Saccharomyces cerevisiae S288C: one gene and its partners. Changing the gene in region 2 together with the main gene of any one other region gives a genetic interaction. Each region holds a gene or a part of one and is shown on either strand. Other genes may lie near its edges.

Region 1 (3,669 bases), on a different chromosome or scaffold from region 2:
GATTTCTCGCTTCTTAGTGAGTCATTACTTTGTTTTCTACCAATGAAGTTTAAGAAAGATTTAGAACTTCTGATCAACTGTGGCGGGTTATTAGACGAATTTTCACGGTCATGATGATGGTCATTATGATGACCATGGAATGGGTTTCTCGACAATAGATTAGGCATCTTTATACGAGAAATAGTTCTACCGTATTATTATAATTATTAGTGTTATTATTTTTGTTTTCGATCAATTCTAGCGGAGCTACAATGTGGTAGTCAAACGCTGCTATTGTATTTAATTCCGGCTCGAGACCAGTCTGGAAAGTCGACGTATATCGTTACTACTATCCTTTTTTTATTATTCCTACTATTTCCTTATTGAAAAAGTGGAAAACTGTTAAATCTGGAAATTCTTCACGATTCTAGAAAAATAGGAGGTGAAGAAGATTTCTAAGCTTTTTGAAAAAAACGGGAAAAGGAAGAGGCCCAAAAAAGTGAAAAAAAACTGTGTGTGTGAAATGTAAACGAACTTTGCTCCCTCTAGGAAAAACTTCTTTAAGCGGTTGGGAACTGTCTTGGGCTTACTTGTTTGTAAACAGTTGTATGAATGATTCTATATGCTAATTCTCAGTTTGTCTCTCTTAAAGATTTGTCACTCTGAAATATATAGCCAAATAGAACTAGGCGAAGAAAAAGAAAAGGGGCGGCGACGACGTAGGGGTCAGGTAGAAGAGTTGGGCACTTATTGGCGATATAAAAGACAAAATACACTAATGCAAGAGTATGGTGAGCGAAAGGAAAATAAAGAAAGGCTACGTTATTGACGGATATATGAATCAAGACACAAGACTATTTTGTATAGTAAGCAGAACCGGCTTGTGTTTGTGATTCATGGATCAACGAGACGGTAGCGAATAAGCACCAACGGAAAAAAAGAAAACATACGCATACATGCACGTACAAGATAAAAAAAGCACAGGTGTGGTGGTAGTATTGGGATAACCAGGCACACGCTACTGCGAGATAGCAAAAGACCCTTCCCGTAAACCGCTCGGATAAACCGATTTTGTCCTTTAGCGTGACACGGATTATACGCGGGGATCCGGCGTCACAAGCCACGGCCCGTCCCGTCCGCGTGGTTTTTAATTCTGGCTCCGCGTAGTACATTTTGTAGCTTGCCTTTTTTCCGGCTTCTAGAAAACTGGAAAAACCATAAGAAAAAAATGGGAAGGGGAAAACAAAAACCATTCAGGTCTTGCGTGCCGAGAATTTTTTTTTTCTCTTTTTCGTTGTCAACTTTTGCAGTAGCAGCCGCTGGCGACCCGGACGGTAGCCATGGCAACGGTTAGCTAATGGTAGGTAAATAAAACGAGTAACGACGTTTTAGTATATCTTGGTAAACTACAATTAGATCTTAAAACGGTTCCTGAAAAAGTGCTTTCATCTACCATTGAATTTAATTCACTTCCCTTTATGGAATTTGCACTGGTTTTGTGCTGTGGGATGTGGGTGTTTTGAAATATTTTCAGCTTGCAAGTCGTGCATATTGCACTTGTTTCTTATTTTTGGCGAGTGTAAACGTAATAGGTAATCTTAGTATTGGGCCATCGTCGCCCAGATAGCCATTGATAAAGCAGCTAGGTTCGTCGTCCGGTTGTTGGTATACACCTGTGCGTGCGTAAGTGTAGAAAAAAATAGAAATGACTAACTGGCAGCAACAGCTTCCTTTAACAGATACACAGAAAAATGAACTCGATAAAAGTGTCCTCCGATATTTGAATTGGAATTACAAACAAACTGTACGACATGAGCATGCTCAAGATTACGAAAGTGTTCGACATGCAATTGTAACTCTATCAGGTTTTCTGTTGCAAGAATCAGTGGACCGGCAAGAATTCATCAGTAACAATGACACCAGTAACGAAAGTATGGTAGACATTGATGAATTACTGCTACCGAAGAAGTGGAACTCAATTGTTAGACTACAAAAAAAAATCATTGAATTGGAGCAGAATACAGAGACCCTTGTATCTCAGATTAAAGATTTGAACACTCAAGTGTCAGAACTAGCACAATTCAAACCTACCACCAGTAACGGCACCAGCGCACATAATGTTTTGAAATGGATACCGAGAAATCTACCAAGCTGTTTAATTAATGTTGAATCATCTGTCACTTCCGTCAAACTACATCCCAATTTGCCTATAGTGTTTGTGGCCACAGATCATGGCAAATTATACGCATTTGATTTATTTAACTACACCATCCCTCTGGCATCCTTGCAAAGTCATACCAAGGCAATTACCTCCATGGATGTTTTATTTACCAATTATACGAACTCCAGCAAGAAGAACTATTTGGTGATCGTTACCGCGTCTAAAGATTTGCAGATTCATGTTTTCAAGTGGGTCTCCGAGGAATGCAAGTTCCAACAAATTAGGTCTTTATTGGGCCATGAGCATATTGTCTCTGCGGTAAAAATCTGGCAGAAAAATAATGATGTCCATATAGCGTCCTGTTCCAGAGATCAAACTGTTAAAATTTGGGACTTCCACAATGGTTGGTCGTTGAAAACATTTCAGCCTCATTCCCAATGGGTTCGTTCCATAGACGTTCTAGGCGATTACATCATCTCTGGTTCACATGACACTACATTAAGGTTAACACATTGGCCATCAGGTAATGGTCTTAGTGTTGGCACGGGTCATGAATTTCCCATAGAGAAAGTTAAATTTATTCATTTCATCGAAGACTCTCCGGAGATAAGGTTTAGAACACCATCAACGGATCGATATAAGAATTGGGGGATGCAATATTGTGTCTCAGCGTCAAGAGATAGAACGATAAAAATCTGGGAGATACCTCTACCTACGTTAATGGCCCATAGAGCACCCATACCGAATCCTACAGATTCAAATTTCAGATGTGTTCTTACGTTGAAGGGGCATCTTTCGTGGGTTAGAGATATTAGTATTCGAGGCCAATACTTGTTTTCTTGTGCTGATGATAAATCTGTCAGATGTTGGGATCTGAACACGGGGCAGTGCTTACACGTTTGGGAAAAGTTGCATACAGGATTTGTCAACTGTTTAGACCTGGATGTGGATTTCGATTCTAACGTTACCCCAAGGCAAATGATGGTCACTGGTGGATTGGATTGCAAGTCTAACGTTTTCATGAGATAAGTTTGGCTTTCCTATTTCTTTTTCCCTTTTTTTTGACTCTTTTTAAGCATTGGTTGATACTTTAAATACTTTATTGAATTAGCATTGATAGTATATAATAAGGTTTACTCACTATATAGTAGCATCATTTATTATTTAATGAAGTACTTAAATGTTTCGCTTTTTTTAAAAGTCCTCAAAATTTAGCTTGAAGCGGAAGAGCTTGCACTAGCAACAGCGACTTCCATGTCTTTATACTCAAATGCGAATGGTTCGTATGGTAAACCTTCACCCACGAAAAACTTGGACATAGATTCAACCCAGTGCAAACGTAAGGAATGAAGCATGGCAGATGTACCTTCCATCAAAACAAGAACTGCACATGTTAGTGCGAACCACATGGCAAAAAGTGCAACCGTCATAAACACACCCACAAATCCTCTAAATCCAAAGGCAATTTGAATTGTCATTGTCCATAAAACACTAGACAATTGAGCATGTGCCAATGATAAGGCCCATAA
Region 2 (7,810 bases):
TATTTCAAAAATGCAATAGTAGAGATCATTTGAGTAAAGATGAATGTAAAGTGTATCATAAGTGATCTATAAACATTAAAATTATATATATATATGTGATTTAATGATTCGTGACTATTTCTTTGTACTAGTGCTTGTTTGGATGTTTGTTTTGGTATTACTGTTGTCATAATTTTTTGGTTTAATATTTTATTTGAAACTTAGCCTGTTACCTGTGCTAGCCTCACCTATGGATCTTTCCTTGCGGGCCCTCAATTTTTCTAGATGTTCATCGAGTATGGAATTTTGCTTTACTGGTGTGTCAGAGCCTCTTAGCTCCTTTAATAACATTCTAGCTCTGTCACTAATTTCCTCTTGATCTTCCAGCGCAGATGTCTTGGATGGCGATGGTAAATCTTCAGAGGTATTCATAACACCCCTTGTGGCAAGCGGAGTGGGTGATTCAGCGTGAATCACTGTATCGGCAGTAGGGTCCATAGCTTCTGGAGAATAAAGAATAGACCCTTCTTCAGTATCCAAATCGTTGAGTAATTGTGGAGCGTTGTCTTTTTCAGAAAGATATTTTTTCCTCACTAGGGCTCTCTTTCTGGCGGAAGATGGGTCACTTTTAGCAGGACCTGCATTTTTCAACTGTTCTAATAGTTTATCCATAACAGCGCGCCTATCTTCTGCTTCATCCTCTTCATTTCCTTCAGATGAAGGCGAATTGCTGTTCTCTTTTTGTTTTTCCTTTTCTTGTGCCCTTTTTTGCTGTTCTTCCACTATTTTCTTATGCTTTATATAAAGTCTTTCTTCTTCTTCCGCGGCTAGATTTTGCGCTTGAGCTTTTTTGTATTCATTTATAAAATCTGCAAATTTCTTAAAGAATGAGATTTTTGCAAACTTATCACCAGAATCTTCACCGTACGTATGCATCAGACTTTCAAATTCCATGATAGTCAGCTTAACTTCGTCTTCTAACAAGTCCCCCTTTTTTCTGGCTTCCGGTAACACGGGCAATGTTTTTATCAAAACTTTATCTAATGGATGAAACTTTGAGGAATCGCTTAAATTACCAATTTCAACTGAACGCTCTACGTTTACAATCGATTGGCTAAAGTCCTTACAGTCGTTAACTAACTGCTCAATGGAAACTTTCACGACATCCAATACAGGTTCTAATTCACTTAGAAAGTCATTGAAGCTTGGATAATTTAACCTGACAATTTTTTCGACGTAATTTAGAAAGGTCATGCTATTGGTAGTATCCTTGATAAACGTCAACCTCTGCAAGGTTGAAAGTTTGAAACCTTGTGCCTGCTTAGAAGTGTCGTTCATGAAATTACCAACTGCTAAGATAACATTAAAGACATTGCGCAAGTTATCTGATTCTTGAAGCGCGCTAACAGCTTTGTCGACTTTTCTTAACTTTGCCAATAACTCATTATATTCTCTTTCATACGAAGTAACCACTGTGAGAGCTCTCATACGTGAACCCCAGTATGATTCTAGATTAACCATCAATTGCAAATAAATTTGGTCAGCCCTCTGTAAATCGTTTGGATCTTTTTCAGGGGGCTTGGCATCTTCGAGATTCCTCACGCCCTCCCAGTCTGTCGAATACGGGGCGTAATTCCTAGCTAAATTAACAGAAACTTCAATTATTTCAGATTTTGACAAAAACTCAACAACACTCGGTGTTTGCAAAAAATCCCTATCGCAGTTTAGAATCTTTTTCACCAGATCGGCAACCGAAAGTGATGAATACATATGCAAATTGATACCAAACTGTTGAGAAATATCCCTGGATAAAAATGTAATTTTCTGCAGATCTTCCTTGCGCTTGCTTGCTAATGATTTAATTTCCCTAGCGGCAAAGGCCTTTTCTAAATCAGCAAGAACACCCTTTTCGTATAAGTCATCTGCGAACTTCTCAGCTTTACCTGTACCCCAAATAGAATTATCAGTACAATCTAATTTTTCCCAATGCAGTTGCTTTAATTTCTTGTGTGGACGAGGATACTTTTCAAATAATGAGGGCGATTGAGGAAGTAATGGTGATGTTACAGCTGATTTGATTTGCGATGCCGGCATCATAGGTGGAGCTGGCGGAATGACGCCATCAGTAGATGAAGATAATACAGATGGTAGCGGCGGCGGTGGTGGTGTTTCTCCCTTGGGTTTGCCGAACAATGCCATGGGTGGAGGAGGAGGTGGTGGTGGTGGAGGGGGAGGAGCAGGAGAATCCCCAGTAGTTTCTTGCTTGACAGTGTCGTCTTCCGACTTTTTCTCTTTCTCCAACGATTCACCGAACAATTTGGCGGGAACTGGAGGAGGAGGAGGAGGAGGCGGTGGCGGCTGTGAGGAGAGTACAGATGATTGAGTAGAGAGATCTTCTGCGCCATCTGTATTATTCAGTTTACTCACAGCGCTGAAATCCGCTGTTTTATCTTCTTCATGATTTACCACACGCCCTTGCTTTCCGTTTTCCACATGTTGTCTCATGTCTTTCTCAGCTTTGTCAAAGGCGGAAGCTGCACTTGCCGTGCTGTTTTCCGGTAAAGATTTTTTATCTAGACCTTCATCTTCATTTTGTTCATATGGTTCAACTTTATTTACCTTCTGTGTTAACTCCTCTAAATATGGAGCAGAAGACACGGTGGATTTTCTGAGTCTGTTCATAAAGGTCTTTTCAACTTTACTATGTAGAGGTCCAATACCCGAACCGTTATTGTTCTCTCCAAAAGCAGCCGATGCAGTAACATTTTGACCAGTACCATATTTTTGAGATAAGGCATCGAGAAAAGACCCAGGACCTGATCCTGAAGATAGCTCTGAGTGTTCGCTCCTTAGTTCTTGAGTTGGAGATGCGTCTTGGTATATTTCCTCACTTTCATCATCAGAACTTGAAGAGGAAAGATCGCTTTCCCCATCTTCTTCTACTTGTATTTCGTGTTCGGTTTGAGTCTGAATATCTAACAACTGGTCCGTTATTCTATTAATCTCGTCTAACTTTTTCTGATATGTCTTAGGGTCAAGACTGGCATAGTTAGCGTCTTCTTCCGTTTCCACGTCCCCAGTATTTTTCTTTGGACTGTCCATAATCTCGTCGACATTAAAGTCAATACCAAATCCTTTGTATTTTGTTTCTAGTTCTTTCAGTCTCTTTAAAGCCAGAGATTTCTTTTCATTAAATAGCTCATTAACACGTTCTTCGACGTTAAATTTGGAAATATCATTACTTTCCATTTGGATTTCAGCCAAAGCCCGCCTTAGGTCATTTAGTTTATTTACGTCCGCCTCTTGAGGCTTGACTAAAGGTTTCCTATCCTTATTTTTCATCTTCTTCACTTTGGGCTTCTTAATATGTATTGGAGGTTCAAGACGATCTTTCTCAAATTCAGCAAAATTTGTCATCTCTAGTTGCCTGGCTTCATTTTCAATATTTTCCATTTGCATTCTTAACATTTTTAATCTCTTATTAGGTTGAAGTGTCATGCCGAATTTTTTTGAATCATCCTTGTAATCCTTTTTTGCTCTTGATAATCCGTCCTGTAACACCTTTTGGATATTCGCTTTCTCTGAAGAATTTAGGCTCGAGTTCATACCTCTGGTGCCTTCATTCTTATTGAAGCTTTCTTCAGGCCTCGAATTCAATATAGTCAACATTTTTCTCAATTCTACCTCTTGCTGATGCTTTTCCAAAAGATGCTTCTTTTTCAACTCTTCTAACTCAGCTTCCAGCTGCTGCATAACTCTCTGATTCTTAGCTAAAATACGATCTCTCTCATGCAACTCATCTTCTAACTGTCCAACGAGTCCGTGCTCCGCCTTGCTTAACTTTTCACTTAAAGAATCCCTTTCTGCCTGAATTTCTTCCAATTTCTTCGTTAGAGCTCTACTTTCTAATATAGCTCGACGTGCAACTTCATCAGTCTGCATGGCATCGTAAAGCCGCTGGATAGCCATATTCATATTAGTTTCTTCATCAGAAGTTGAGGCAACACTAACATTAGTCACCAAAGAATCCATAAGTTTCAATTGCTTAGTAAGTTTAGAGGAATTTTGGTTTTCTTCTATTAACTTTGAACTAGAAAGGAAAAGATGTTGAACTAAAGATACTAAAAGCTTTTCATTCTCGGTACCTTTACATATATCCCAAAGGTTTTTTAATAATGATAGTGGATCGTGTAAATCTACATTAAAAGCCTTATTGTTGGCCTCTAATTTAACGTTAAAATCGTCAAGTTTATTATTGTCATATAACTCAATTTGGTCAATTACCTTGTCGTAATCTAGCAGTTTTATTTTGTTCATAATTCGTAAAATTCCACAATTTTCTAGTTTCGTCCTTAATAGCATTCTTTGATTTATGTTATCAGAGCAAGAGCATAAATGATTGATAAAAACCATTGTCCATTGGCAGTATTCTAGAATCGCATTTTCACCCCCACCATTTTTAAATTCATCCGACGCGCCTACTAAGGAACCCATTTTTCCTCTTCCATCTAAAGTTTGTTCAACGGCAAATAACCAGGCTTGAATAATTTTCAAATGACTTTCCAAGGTTAAATGAGAGAAATACTGGGGCATTTTTTTGAAGTTTTGAATCATATGAAGATTTTGCCCTATCCTAAACTTTTTATCTAGTGAGGTAAGAACTGCTTCGAATCTGCTTTTATTTTTTTTTTCTAGCATACAAACAAAAATTTCAGTGGCCATTTTCCTTGTGGCCAGTTTCGTAGAGAATAAACCTTCTGCAACAGTATCAGTCATTAACCTATGTGTACTGAACTCATACAAACCTTGTGAGAGCATTGATAAGACTCTGAAGCATTTAAAAAATGAATTTTCTTTCTCTAATAATTCTTTAGTCAAGTTTTCTCGGGGTGCAGTCTTATAAATAGAGTTCATTAGTACATTAGCCATAGCAATGTGACCCTGATGGTCTATAAAAGCGTCTACCCAGTCTAACTGTTCAGTTCTTAAAGTTACCCATAAATCTTTCATCTCATCGCTAGTAAGTTTGTCTGCCAGGATTCGTTGCACATAATGTATCGGTGGTCTGTTTGTTCTGTCTCCTGGAAGAGTAGATGCACTCGTATTGTTCTCAGCCCCACCTCTATAAATATTGTTTAGAGATGGCTGCTTTTTCAAACTCCCGCTCACTAATTTTTTCCCCTTCGAGGTTGACGTACCTACCGATGAAAGAGTAGTAGAATGATTTAAACTGTTGCTGTATACAGTTGAGGTGGGAGAAGAGGCGCTTGTCATCAAAACAGATTTGGGAGACGAAAGAGATGAATTAGCCGTAAGGATAGGATGATGGTCCGACGCCATCGAAGTTCTGGAGGCAGTGGAAGAAGATGTAGTGTTTGCTCGCATTTTTTTTAGCTCATTTTGTAAATCCTGCTTAACAATCAGCCATTTCTTCTCAATGCTGTAGCCCATCAGAGCTTCTTGTTTGTCCTCTGATAAAGACTGAAAAATATTTCTTTTATACATAATATCTTCAAACAAAACTTCCACCTCGTATGGGTCCGACGGCATTTCTAAATAAATTTTACCATCGGGTGTAGTGAATTTGCTCAAGTTAGTTAGCGAACCTTGAGAGAGAAGACTTGATGCGGAGTGACTTTGCCCGGTATGCTGCCTTGTTAGCTTATTGGACGCCTGTGAAGAATTCCTCTTGGAATACGAATATTTCGATTGCATTGAATGCGACCTTGCGTGCTGTGAGGATACGGGAACATCTCCACTTAATTTACCATTCATATATTGAGACAAGTTTTGTGTGTTTAATGTCGATTTTTTATTCAACGGCCTCGCCTCAGTAGATGTAGACCTAGAAGGTGCATTCAGTTTTCTAAAAGATGACGAAGATGCAGGTGAAGTGGACACTTCGTTTCCCACTGGAGAGTGCTGTTGTTGGGATGCATAGGTCGGAGAACCCGTATTGCTATTCGTTGCATTTGAGTTAGCCAAACGCTTCAAATTTTGGAATATACCAGAACTCGAATTCGAATGACTTTCCTTTGAGTTCGAATGTTTGGAGCCTGAATTCTTCAACATTTCCTTTCCTTCTCTTCCTTTCTTGCTTCTCGTTTGTTGAAAAGGTTCAGGTGCCTTCTTTATGTGGCGTGTATTTAGAATTTAACTAGGCTTGAGTTAAAATGTTTCTCCTCAATACAGAAGATAGATACAAATGGCAAAAAAAAAAGTAAAAAATGGCCCAACTGTATGAGACGTATAAAAAACGTGAAGGGTGAAGAAAAGAATGCCACTGTCCAATTTTATGCTTAATACGAAAATAATTAACACACAGCCGTCAGTGTCCTCTTATCTGTAGGAAGGGTCCGTGCTATTGTTCTTAAAAGGGATTCTAGTTTTCCACATCTGTTTTTTCTTTCTTTCCCTCTTCCACGTCAAAAACTTCCTCTAACCGATGTCGGGTAAGCCATGGAAATTACGGGCGATGACTTTCGGCGGCTAACAACGAAACAACTAGGGAGTAATCATATAATCACAGGAAAAGAGTTGAGCAAGGATTTGGCAAATATACATATACATACATACATACATACATACATATATATGTGTGTGTGTGGTATGGAGTATTATTCTAAAATTATGAAAGGACATCCCAAACTCGTTGCCACCTTGTTTTACATTCTGGCTCTATCCATACCAACTCCTCTATTTGCCGGCGGTCAGAATCGATATCGATATCCTGCAGCTTCCAGAGTAAGCGGCACTTAAACCAAACTTGGAATGATAACCATATGGCCAAAAATAGGAATATTGATATATATGCAGCGACAAAGTCTATAGGCTGAAAAGTAGGTGCGAAAGCGGTGAAGCCCTGGATCAGAACAATTAGAGCGATGAAAAAAGATGCATAATATGCCAAAAAAGGCATCATTTGAGCTTTATAAGGTAAGTCATCCCTCGATATACCACGTTTCCTTATGGCTTGCATGAAACGGATATGAGAAAATGAAATCAAAAGCCAGGCAAAGAAACCGGCCACACCAGTTATGTTCAATAACCAGTTAAAGGCCTTGCCGCTGCCTGCAGAAACCTCTAAGAAAGCCAAAAATCCGAACACGGATGTAGATAGAACAGAAAAGTATGGAACACCACCTCTGGTCACGTTAGACAAGAACCTTGGCGCCAAGCTATTTTTAGACAGACTATACAGTACTCTTGAGCCAATGTACACATTAGAGTTACCTGCGGAAAGAATGGTGATTAGCACGACCGCGTTAAATATATCTGGGAGAACTTTTGTGCCTGAATTCTCAATGCTTATCATAAAGGGCGATGAAGAGACAAATATACCGTCACTATCCAACTTTGGGTCATTATATGGGACCAAAAGGCCAATGAAAAATAGTGAAAGAATGTAAAAGACTAGAATCCTCACTACAACTTTCTTTATTGCCCTCGGGAGAGCTTTTCTTGGGTTAGCCGCTTCACCAGCGGTTATCCCAACCAGTTCAGTACCTTGGTACGTAAATGCAGCATTAATCAAAGAGGAAACCCATCCGAGAAAACGGCCCTCATTTTTATCACTGGAGATAATGCCAGGCCCCCAGGCTCCTGGATTTCTCCAGTACCTGAAACCGATGGGTCCATCAGATTGTCCCGCACCACACACAACACAGAATGAGAAAATGATAAAACCGAGCAACGCGATGACCTTTATGGAGGCAATACAAAACTCAAATTCTCCGTAATACTTTACGGGAAACATGTTCATTGAAGTTAACAGGCACCAAAAGATCACGATCCAAGCCGCTAGAGGCACTGCTTCTGTCCAGTACTGAAT
Region 3 (4,688 bases), on a different chromosome or scaffold from region 2:
ACAATTTCGTTCTCAATATCTAAAACACTCAATGACTCTGCATTACGAACGACGGGGGTAACCAAACCCTTTGGAGTGGCCACAGCAACAGAAATATCTGTGTAATCACGATAAACAATCTGGTCACCTTCAATGGCACCATTGACGGCTGGAATATCCTTGGCGGCCAAGGTACATGCTTTGGAGAAAAGACCCATGAATCCGAATTTAGTACCGGTCTTCTTAATAATCTCATCTTTATACAGTTTCCTCATTTCCATCAAAGCTGACATGTCAACTTCGTTGAATGTGGTTAAGGAAGCAGCAGTGTTTTGAGACTCTTTTAATCTTTCGGCAATCCTCAATCTCATACGGTTCATTTTGACCCTGGTTTCTGTACGTGGAAATGGTGTGAAAGAGTTAGAGGCTACTGGGGGTTCCTGCGCCTTAGAGACGGTCTTCTTTGGTTGATCAGCCTTTTTTGGTTCTGTAACTTCTTTCTTTGGAGCGGCTTCTTTCTTTGGAGCAGCTTCTTTCTTTGAAGCCGTTTCCTCACTTGAGTTTTCCCTTGCGGCGACACCTTGCGATGGCTCCGCTTGTTCGGTAGGCTCTGGCTTAGATTCTCCAGAACCCTCAGCAGGTGCTTCACCAGGCTCGACCTGAGCTAACTCCTCACCAACAGTGACAGTGTCCTCTGGTTTGAAATTTAGCTTCGTAACAGTACCTGATACTGGCGAATTGACCTCAATATCAATTTTATCGGTCTCAATAGTGGCCAACAGCTCGTCCTCCTTAATAAAATCACCAACGTTTTTAGTATATTCCTTTAAAGAGCCTTCAGTCAGGGACTCTGCCATCGGAGGAACTTCAATAGAGGTAGATTTAAAACGATTGCTAGTTATGGAGAACGGATTCGCCGCAACTGAAATTTTCTTGCCGGATAAATATATTGAACCTAAGGATTCGACCTTGTTAGCTTGTTTGAACAAACTTGTAGAAGCATGTCTCTTGACGAAAGAAGCAGCCATAACATTTCTAGCCACTTTAGATTTTACTAAGGATTTGGCAGCTGCAGTACGCGTCGCTCTGGAAAGCATTGTTTAAATAATTATCTGAAGTTGTGTCTTTGGTTGTAACAAATGTGGTAGTGAAGTTTATAACAATATATCTATTCACTGATATATACCGTTAAAGATAGCTGCCTAATTTTTTATTTCGGATTTTTCTTTTTTTTACGTTAGATATTTCCTCCCCTGAAGCTCAAAAAGAGATTATATATGAAAAGTAGGCCTAGTTGAGGGAAAAAGGATTTGCATTTGCTGATAGACCAAGTGTGGATCCGAGCCCTGTAGTAGAATGGTGCTAATGTAGAATAAGAATAAGCTTTAGGAACCATAGATTCCTGCGTAATTTGTGGCCGCTTTATTGGCTCACTCCGGGCAGGACCTTAGTTTTGATTGGCTGCAAAAAAAGGGTTGTTAATATCGTCTTTGACGGAGATGCGGGTGGCTGGAATTGTTTTGTTTATTATTCCCCAAGAGAGAAGAGACAAGAAGTAGTAATGACGATGGAACAAAGATCGGTTCTAATAGGACCACAGGGTTGAATAGAGACGAGTAAAGACGCAACGGTCAAGGCTTTCCACGAGACGTTCGAATATGTCCCACAACAACAGGCATAAAAAGAATAACGATAAAGACAGCTCAGCAGGGCAGTATGCAAATAGCATTGACAATTCATTAAGCCAGGAAAGCGTCTCAACGAACGGCGTAACAAGGATGGCTAACTTAAAGGCTGATGAATGCGGCAGTGGTGATGAAGGAGATAAAACAAAGCGGTTTTCGATTTCAAGTATTTTGAGTAAAAGAGAGACAAAAGACGTGCTTCCGGAATTTGCAGGCAGTAGTTCCCACAATGGAGTACTCACGGCGAATTCATCAAAGGATATGAACTTTACTTTGGAACTAAGCGAGAATTTGTTGGTTGAGTGTAGGAAATTGCAATCCTCTAATGAAGCTAAAAATGAGCAAATCAAGTCTCTCAAGCAAATTAAAGAGTCATTAAGTGACAAGATTGAGGAGCTCACTAACCAAAAAAAGTCCTTCATGAAAGAGTTGGATTCAACTAAAGATTTAAACTGGGATTTAGAATCTAAATTAACAAACTTGAGCATGGAATGTAGGCAATTAAAAGAATTGAAGAAAAAGACTGAAAAATCTTGGAATGATGAAAAAGAAAGCCTGAAACTTCTGAAAACAGATTTGGAAATTTTAACATTAACAAAAAATGGCATGGAAAATGATCTTAGCTCTCAAAAACTTCATTACGATAAAGAGATTAGTGAATTAAAGGAAAGGATTTTAGACTTAAATAATGAAAACGACAGATTACTTATTAGTGTTTCTGATCTAACAAGTGAAATTAATTCCTTACAGAGCAATAGAACTGAAAGAATAAAAATTCAAAAGCAACTTGATGACGCCAAAGCATCTATTTCTTCGTTAAAAAGAAAAGTACAAAAGAAGTATTATCAAAAACAGCATACTTCCGATACTACAGTAACATCTGATCCTGATTCTGAGGGGACCACTAGTGAAGAAGACATTTTTGATATAGTGATCGAAATTGACCACATGATTGAAACAGGCCCCTCTGTCGAGGACATTTCTGAAGATCTTGTCAAGAAATACTCAGAAAAAAACAATATGATATTGTTATCGAATGATTCATATAAAAACTTACTACAAAAAAGTGAAAGTGCATCCAAACCAAAAGACGATGAATTAATGACCAAAGAGGTGGCTGAAAACCTGAATATGATCGCGTTACCAAATGATGACAATTACAGCAAAAAAGAGTTTTCGTTAGAATCTCATATTAAATATTTAGAAGCTTCTGGCTATAAAGTTCTTCCTCTAGAGGAGTTTGAGAACCTAAACGAATCCCTATCAAATCCATCATATAACTATCTCAAGGAAAAACTTCAGGCTTTGAAAAAGATACCCATCGATCAAAGTACGTTTAACTTGTTAAAAGAGCCTACTATTGATTTTTTACTGCCTTTAACATCCAAAATTGATTGCCTGATAATACCTACCAAAGATTATAATGACCTTTTTGAGAGTGTCAAGAATCCATCAATTGAACAAATGAAAAAATGCCTGGAAGCAAAGAACGACTTACAATCGAATATTTGTAAATGGCTGGAGGAGAGAAACGGCTGTAAATGGCTAAGTAATGATCTGTATTTTTCAATGGTTAATAAGATAGAAACACCTTCGAAACAATACCTGTCAGATAAGGCAAAAGAATACGACCAAGTGCTGATTGATACTAAAGCCTTAGAAGGTTTAAAGAACCCAACGATAGACTTTCTAAGAGAAAAAGCTTCTGCATCAGATTATTTATTACTCAAAAAAGAAGACTACGTGAGCCCATCACTGGAATACCTAGTTGAACATGCCAAGGCCACCAATCACCATTTACTATCGGATAGTGCATACGAAGACCTAGTCAAGTGCAAGGAGAATCCTGATATGGAATTCTTGAAGGAGAAGTCTGCCAAACTAGGCCACACTGTGGTATCCAACGAGGCATATTCTGAATTGGAAAAGAAACTAGAACAACCATCACTGGAATACCTAGTTGAACATGCCAAGGCGACCAATCACCATTTACTATCGGATAGTGCATACGAAGACCTAGTCAAGTGCAAGGAGAATCCTGATATGGAATTCTTGAAGGAGAAGTCTGCCAAACTAGGCCATACTGTGGTATCCAACGAGGCATATTCTGAATTGCAACGCAAATACTCAGAATTGGAGAAGGAAGTAGAACAACCATCTCTAGCATACTTAGTTGAACACGCCAAGGCTACCGATCACCATTTACTATCGGATAGTGCATACGAAGACCTAGTCAAGTGCAAGGAGAATCCTGATGTGGAATTCTTGAAGGAGAAGTCTGCTAAACTAGGCCATACTGTGGTATCTAGCGAGGAATATTCTGAATTGCAACGCAAATACTCAGAATTGGAGAAGGAAGTAGAACAACCATCACTAGCATACCTAGTCGAACACGCCAAGGCTACCGATCACCATTTACTATCGGATAGTGCATACGAAGAACTAGTCAAGTGCAAGGAGAATCCTGATATGGAATTCTTGAAGGAGAAGTCTGCCAAACTAGGCCACACTGTGGTATCCAACGAGGCATATTCTGAATTGGAAAAGAAACTAGAACAACCATCACTAGCATACCTAGTCGAACATGCCAAGGCTACCGATCACCATCTGCTATCGGATAGTGCATACGAAGACCTAGTCAAGTGCAAGGAAAATTCTGATGTAGAATTCTTGAAGGAGAAGTCTGCTAAACTAGGCCATACTGTGGTATCCAACGAAGCATATTCTGAATTGGAAAAGAAACTAGAACAACCATCACTAGCATACCTAGTCGAACATGCCAAGGCTACCGATCACCATCTGCTATCGGATAGTGCATACGAAGACCTAGTCAAGTGCAAGGAGAATCCTGATATGGAATTCTTGAAGGAGAAGTCTGCCAAACTAGGCCACACTGTGGTATCCAACGAGGCATATTCTGAATTGGAAAAGAAACTAGAACAACCATCACTGGAATACCTAGTTGAACATGCCAAGGCCACCAATCACCATTTACTATCGGATAGTGCATACGAAGACCTAGTC
Region 4 (4,789 bases), on a different chromosome or scaffold from region 2:
TTGAGGCCGCATCTTGTAATTTGCTAATTGTAACGACACAAGTCGGAGGAATTCCCGAAGTGTTACCAAATGAGATGACTGTTTATGCAGAACAGACATCCGTTTCTGACCTTGTTCAAGCAACAAATAAAGCTATCAATATCATAAGAAGTAAAGCTTTGGACACTTCCTCTTTTCATGATAGCGTGTCTAAAATGTACGACTGGATGGACGTAGCCAAAAGGACAGTAGAGATATATACTAATATATCTTCTACTTCTTCCGCTGATGATAAAGATTGGATGAAAATGGTAGCAAATCTTTACAAAAGAGATGGAATCTGGGCTAAACATCTTTATCTGTTATGTGGAATTGTAGAGTACATGCTTTTTTTCCTCTTAGAGTGGCTATACCCCAGGGATGAAATCGATCTAGCTCCAAAATGGCCCAAGAAAACAGTGTCTAACGAGACGAAGGAAGCAAGAGAAACTTAAACTTTACACAAAACAAAGGAATGTTGTATCCATTTATTTACTGTATTTGAATGTTATAGACCTGCTAGAATCACTCAGTCATTTGTAATATGTAACAACATTTTGAGATTTGAGTCGTATATTTTTCCTCTTGCGCTTTAAATACGAAATGTAAGAATGATCTCTTTCATGCCAGAGTTCATCTTCTGCCAAAGGTTGATCAAGCTTTAAATCTAAAATCCGTGAGGTACTCACGAAGTTGAACATTTCTATCCCCAAGGTGTCCAAACTGTGGTTGATATGTTCTTTGAATGGTTGCTTATTTTCCACAGCTGGAAGCTCGTCTAACCAGCTGAAATCGATGCTCACTCGTTTCTGCTCTTTTATTTGTCGTCTTATGGTTTCTCTCAATTCCATGATTTCCGAAACTAAATTTACTCTATCTACTTTCTCTCTGTCTAAATAAATTTTGTTCAACGTATTATTATCCTTTATTTGATATAGTTTGAGCTCCATATTCTTCAAACGGTTTACTAGGTTGAAATTTTCTTCTTTCAGCTTGTTAAGAATTTCTGTTTTGCCACAATTTTCCTCATTTTTGTTATTTAACTCTACTTTGAGTGTTTTGATATTCTCTTCAAGGGTTTTCCTCTCTAAATCCCTCCCAATAATAATTTTAATTTTTGTTTCCAATTCAGTTAGCATATTTTCCTTTTGGACCAGTACTTCTTTGAGTCGAATGTTCTCTTCATTCAAGCGATCGCTTAATAACGAGTTTGAAAAATTGCCCTCCTTAATATTACATTGACTTTCTGAATCACTTGTTTGTTGACTGGGTTGCTCAGGAAATATAGTTATGTTTTCTAAGAGACTTTCTATTCCTTGAAAAAATACCTCTAGTTTTTTCAAAGAAGAAATACGTTTGTAATCTTGTCGCAAAAACAGTGCATCTGAAAAAAGTATCGTTAAGATAGAGGACAGGGTTATATCACAGGAAGGATATAAAAATAACCTATTGTCTTGTTTCGAAATTTCTTCCTTTCCGATAAGTTTATCTATTCTGGCAATAAGTGAAAGTGATCTCTCGTAAAGGGAACCAATAAGACATAGGGTATCATTGTCATTGAAATTGCTGTTCGTTCTAAGAAAAGCCAACAGCTTCGGAACAGTTGTTTCCAATATCGGATGAAGTATTTTTAGTATCAAGGTCACATCCTTATCTAGAAACTTATTATCTTCTAAAAACTGACAAATGGAAAAGGCGGTTTCCTGTTTAGAAGAAAACTTCCTTTGCAAAAACTCGCTTAGCCACATCGAAATCGGAGCAATATTTACTTTGAAACATTGTAATGTCGTTTCCAGGTGATCGGGAGTATTCTTTATGGTGTAAATATGAAGCGCATAACTGATAGAGCTCAACACTTTTAGAATTATATGGATTTCAATATTCTCCAACTTTCCAAAATTTTCACTTTCGATTACTTCGGCTAAATATTGCAATTGAGAGGAAAGAGCCGCCAAATGTGGTTGTGCAAATGGCTCATATATTTGGTAAAATTTCTTTAGCAATTTATTTTGATATAATTCCTCCTGTAAAGTGTTCACTTTTAGTTCAAGACTTTGAAATTTGTGAGATGTTTTGGCTTCAATAGATTCCAATGTTGCTTTTAATCTTGAATTTTCTTCGATATATGTGCCTGCTATCTCCTTTTCATTTTCCAATGCAGATTGCAAATTACTTAATTGCAGTCTCAGTTCTTGCTCGAGTTGCTCATAGGTAATTCTTAAATTTTCATCCAATTTTTCTTTTGCCTGTAGTTCCTCCAACTCATTGTTTAAAGCCTTTATATTACTTGTGAGTAGGATATTATCATTAGTCAATTTATCAACAATATTAGATGATTTACTTTGAGCTTCAATCTGCAAGGCAAGGTCGCCGATTGTATTATTAGTCTGTTGCAATTGCAGACCTAAATCCGATATTTTTTTAGATAATACTGCATTTTCTTCTAATAACTGAGTATTCTCCTCGAGCAGGTCCTCTTGCACCTTCATAGCTTTATCATATGACAACTTTGTTTGGTCGAGTAGTCCCTGAAGAAGATGGCTCCTTTCTAACAGTGTGCCTTTGTCGAGATCCGGTGCCATTACACTATCTGAAGCATCTAATAGGTGATTGAAATTATCCAAATGAGTTTTCATATTACCATTTTCCACTTTCAGTTCTTTGACTAGTTTATCCAATCTTGAGATTTTAGACAATAGAACAGTTTCATTAGTACTCAGCTTTTCAACGGAAGTTTTCAGCTCATGATTTTCTATTTTAATTTTATTTAATTTGGACGCCAATGATTCACATTTTACTTGTAGATTCTTAATTGTTTCTTGCGCTGCATTACCATTTAGCAAACTATGCTCATCGTCATCTGGTTTATAAAACTGCAACGTATCTTTCTTGCAGAAAAGACCATAATAACCACCATTTGAATTAGCTTTCTTCAGGTCGATATCAAAGTAACGAATACCGTTAGCGCTTCCATCATTCTTTCCTAACGGTTTATCTAGTTCAATGCCGTACCATATGCCTTTTGCAAATTGAGTTTCCCCAATGAATTTCACCCGCCCCTTCATCTCGTTGACTAGAACTGTGTCCTGTAAGCTTATCTTCTGCATATTTGTGTCAACTTGAACACCTGCATTGCGCATTTGTCCAAGGCTGTACTGCGAGGTTGATGGAGATCGAATCTAGAATAGTATTATGTACTTTGCAAAAGTAAAGTACAACATAAAGTCTAGCAGCATATGAGTAACTCTCTACAGTTACGCCAACAATCTCAGTGTGGAGGTTAGAGTAAAAAGAAAGCACCTTACAACTGTACGTTTACATAAGTGACTTTTCAACATATATGCATTTTTTGTTAAGCATTGTAAAATACCCGGTTGAAAAGCGACATGAAAAATAACGACATGTTAGATTCAAAAGTACCTACTGCTCTTTAACAGCTACTTAAGGATTACCTGATAAGAGTAATCCACCGTAAAGAACATTATCAGCAACAAAATTTGTAATCCATCATGTCTGGAAGCTATCAACATTTATCAAACGTTGGATCGCGTGTTATGAAAAGATTGGGGAATCGACCCAAAAACTTTCTTCCTCATAGTGAAAAGTTCATTAAAAAATCTACGCCTGAGTTCATGAAGTCAGATTTAAAGGAAGTAGATGAGAAAACTAGTTTCAAGAGTGAAAAAGAATGGAAGTTTATACCTGGCGACAGAGTAGTAGTAATGAGCGGGGCTTCCAAAGGAAATATAGCTGTAATTAAATCTTTCGATAAAAGAACAAATTCATTCATATTAGATGAGAATGGGCCCACAAAGACTGTTCCAGTTCCTAAACAATTCTGGCTTGAAGGCCAAACATCTCACATGATAACAATTCCAGTTTCAATTTTGGGAAAGGATTTAAGGCTAGTTGCTGATATTGACGATGAAAAGACCCCAGGAAAGACAAGAACGGTGGCAGTAAGGGATGTTTCCTTCAATGGTTCCTACTATGATGCAGACTACAAAAAGGTAATGCCATATAGATGCGTAAAGGGTCAACCAGACTTGATCATTCCATGGCCTAAACCAGACCCAATTGATGTGCAAACGAACTTGGCTACCGATCCTGTAATTGCTAGAGAACAAACATTTTGGGTCGATTCCGTAGTGAGAAACCCTATTCCAAAAAAGGCAATACCAAGTATTCGCAATCCTCATTCTAAGTACAAAAGGGGTACCTTGACAGCGAAAGATATAGCTAAGCTAGTAGCACCTGAGATGCCCCTAACAGAGGTAAGAAAAAGCCATTTGGCAGAAAAAAAGGAGTTGGCTGAGAGAGAAGTACCAAAACTAACTGAAGAGGACATGGAAGCTATTGGGGCGAGGGTTTTTGAATTTTTGGAAAAACAAAAAAGAGAATAAATGTACCAAGTGTATGCACTCTATTTTTATATTTGATTCTCTAGTGTGATTTTTTTAATCAGTATATCCCCTTCACTATTCACGTAGTAAATAAGTTATATTCGACCTGTATATATGAAAGCATAAAGTAAAGTTCAAAGAATATTCAGATATTGATGTGGGCAAACGTGATGACTTCAAATTACAAAATCTTTTCTTTAAAAATAAATTATGTGCGTATGTACATTATTTTTAACCAATAAAAGGGTTTAAATATTTATTTACAAGATTAATGACTGCCCTTTAAGCGTTGTCTCTTTATCTCATTGTACTAATGCTAAAATCGTTCCTGTGGTCGCTTTGCTTCACCAGGATATATCCAATCCCAG

What was found.
Region 1: mutations in BNI1 (region 2) and PAC1 are lethal when combined (synthetic lethality), as found in Saccharomyces cerevisiae (5 studies listed by BioGRID, with this or other methods).
Region 3: mutations in BNI1 (region 2) and NUM1 are lethal when combined (synthetic lethality), as found in Saccharomyces cerevisiae (5 studies listed by BioGRID, with this or other methods).
Region 4: mutations in BNI1 (region 2) and NIP100 are lethal when combined (synthetic lethality), as found in Saccharomyces cerevisiae (7 studies listed by BioGRID, with this or other methods).

The regions. Positions count from the first base shown.
Region 1 is NC_001147.6:824,701-828,369, forward strand, and holds PAC1 (Pac1p), read left to right. Parts: upstream 1-1,684; coding exon 1,685-3,169; downstream 3,170-3,669. Other genes in the region: putative serine/threonine protein kinase HRK1, read right to left, coding at 1-167; YOR268C (uncharacterized protein), read right to left, coding at 834-1,232; VPH1 (H(+)-transporting V0 sector ATPase subunit a), read right to left, coding at 3,352-3,669.
Region 2 is NC_001146.8:129,333-137,142, forward strand, and holds BNI1 (formin BNI1), read right to left. Parts: upstream 6,052-7,810; coding exon 190-6,051; downstream 1-189. Other genes in the region: arginine permease ALP1, read right to left, coding at 6,608-7,810. UniProt on the Saccharomyces cerevisiae protein: Required for the assembly of F-actin structures, such as actin cables and stress fibers. Nucleates actin filaments. Binds to the barbed end of the actin filament and acts as a leaky capper, slowing both polymerization and depolymerization.
Region 3 is NC_001136.10:753,991-758,678, forward strand, and holds the start of NUM1 (Num1p), read left to right. Parts: upstream 1-1,637; coding exon 1,638-4,688. Other genes in the region: KGD2 (dihydrolipoyl transsuccinylase), read right to left, coding at 1-1,076. UniProt on the Saccharomyces cerevisiae protein: Controls nuclear migration. NUM1 specifically controls the interaction of the bud neck cytoskeleton with the pre-divisional G2 nucleus. Functions in dynein-anchoring.
Region 4 is NC_001148.4:219,616-224,404, forward strand, and holds NIP100 (Nip100p), read right to left. Parts: upstream 3,159-4,789; coding exon 552-3,158; downstream 1-551. Other genes in the region: phosphatidylinositol N-acetylglucosaminyltransferase SPT14, read left to right, coding at 1-473; mitochondrial 54S ribosomal protein uL24m MRPL40, read left to right, coding at 3,528-4,421; COX10 (protoheme IX farnesyltransferase), read right to left, coding at 4,738-4,789. UniProt on the Saccharomyces cerevisiae protein: Motor-binding component of the dynactin complex which assists cytoplasmic dynein by increasing its processivity and by regulation of its cargo binding.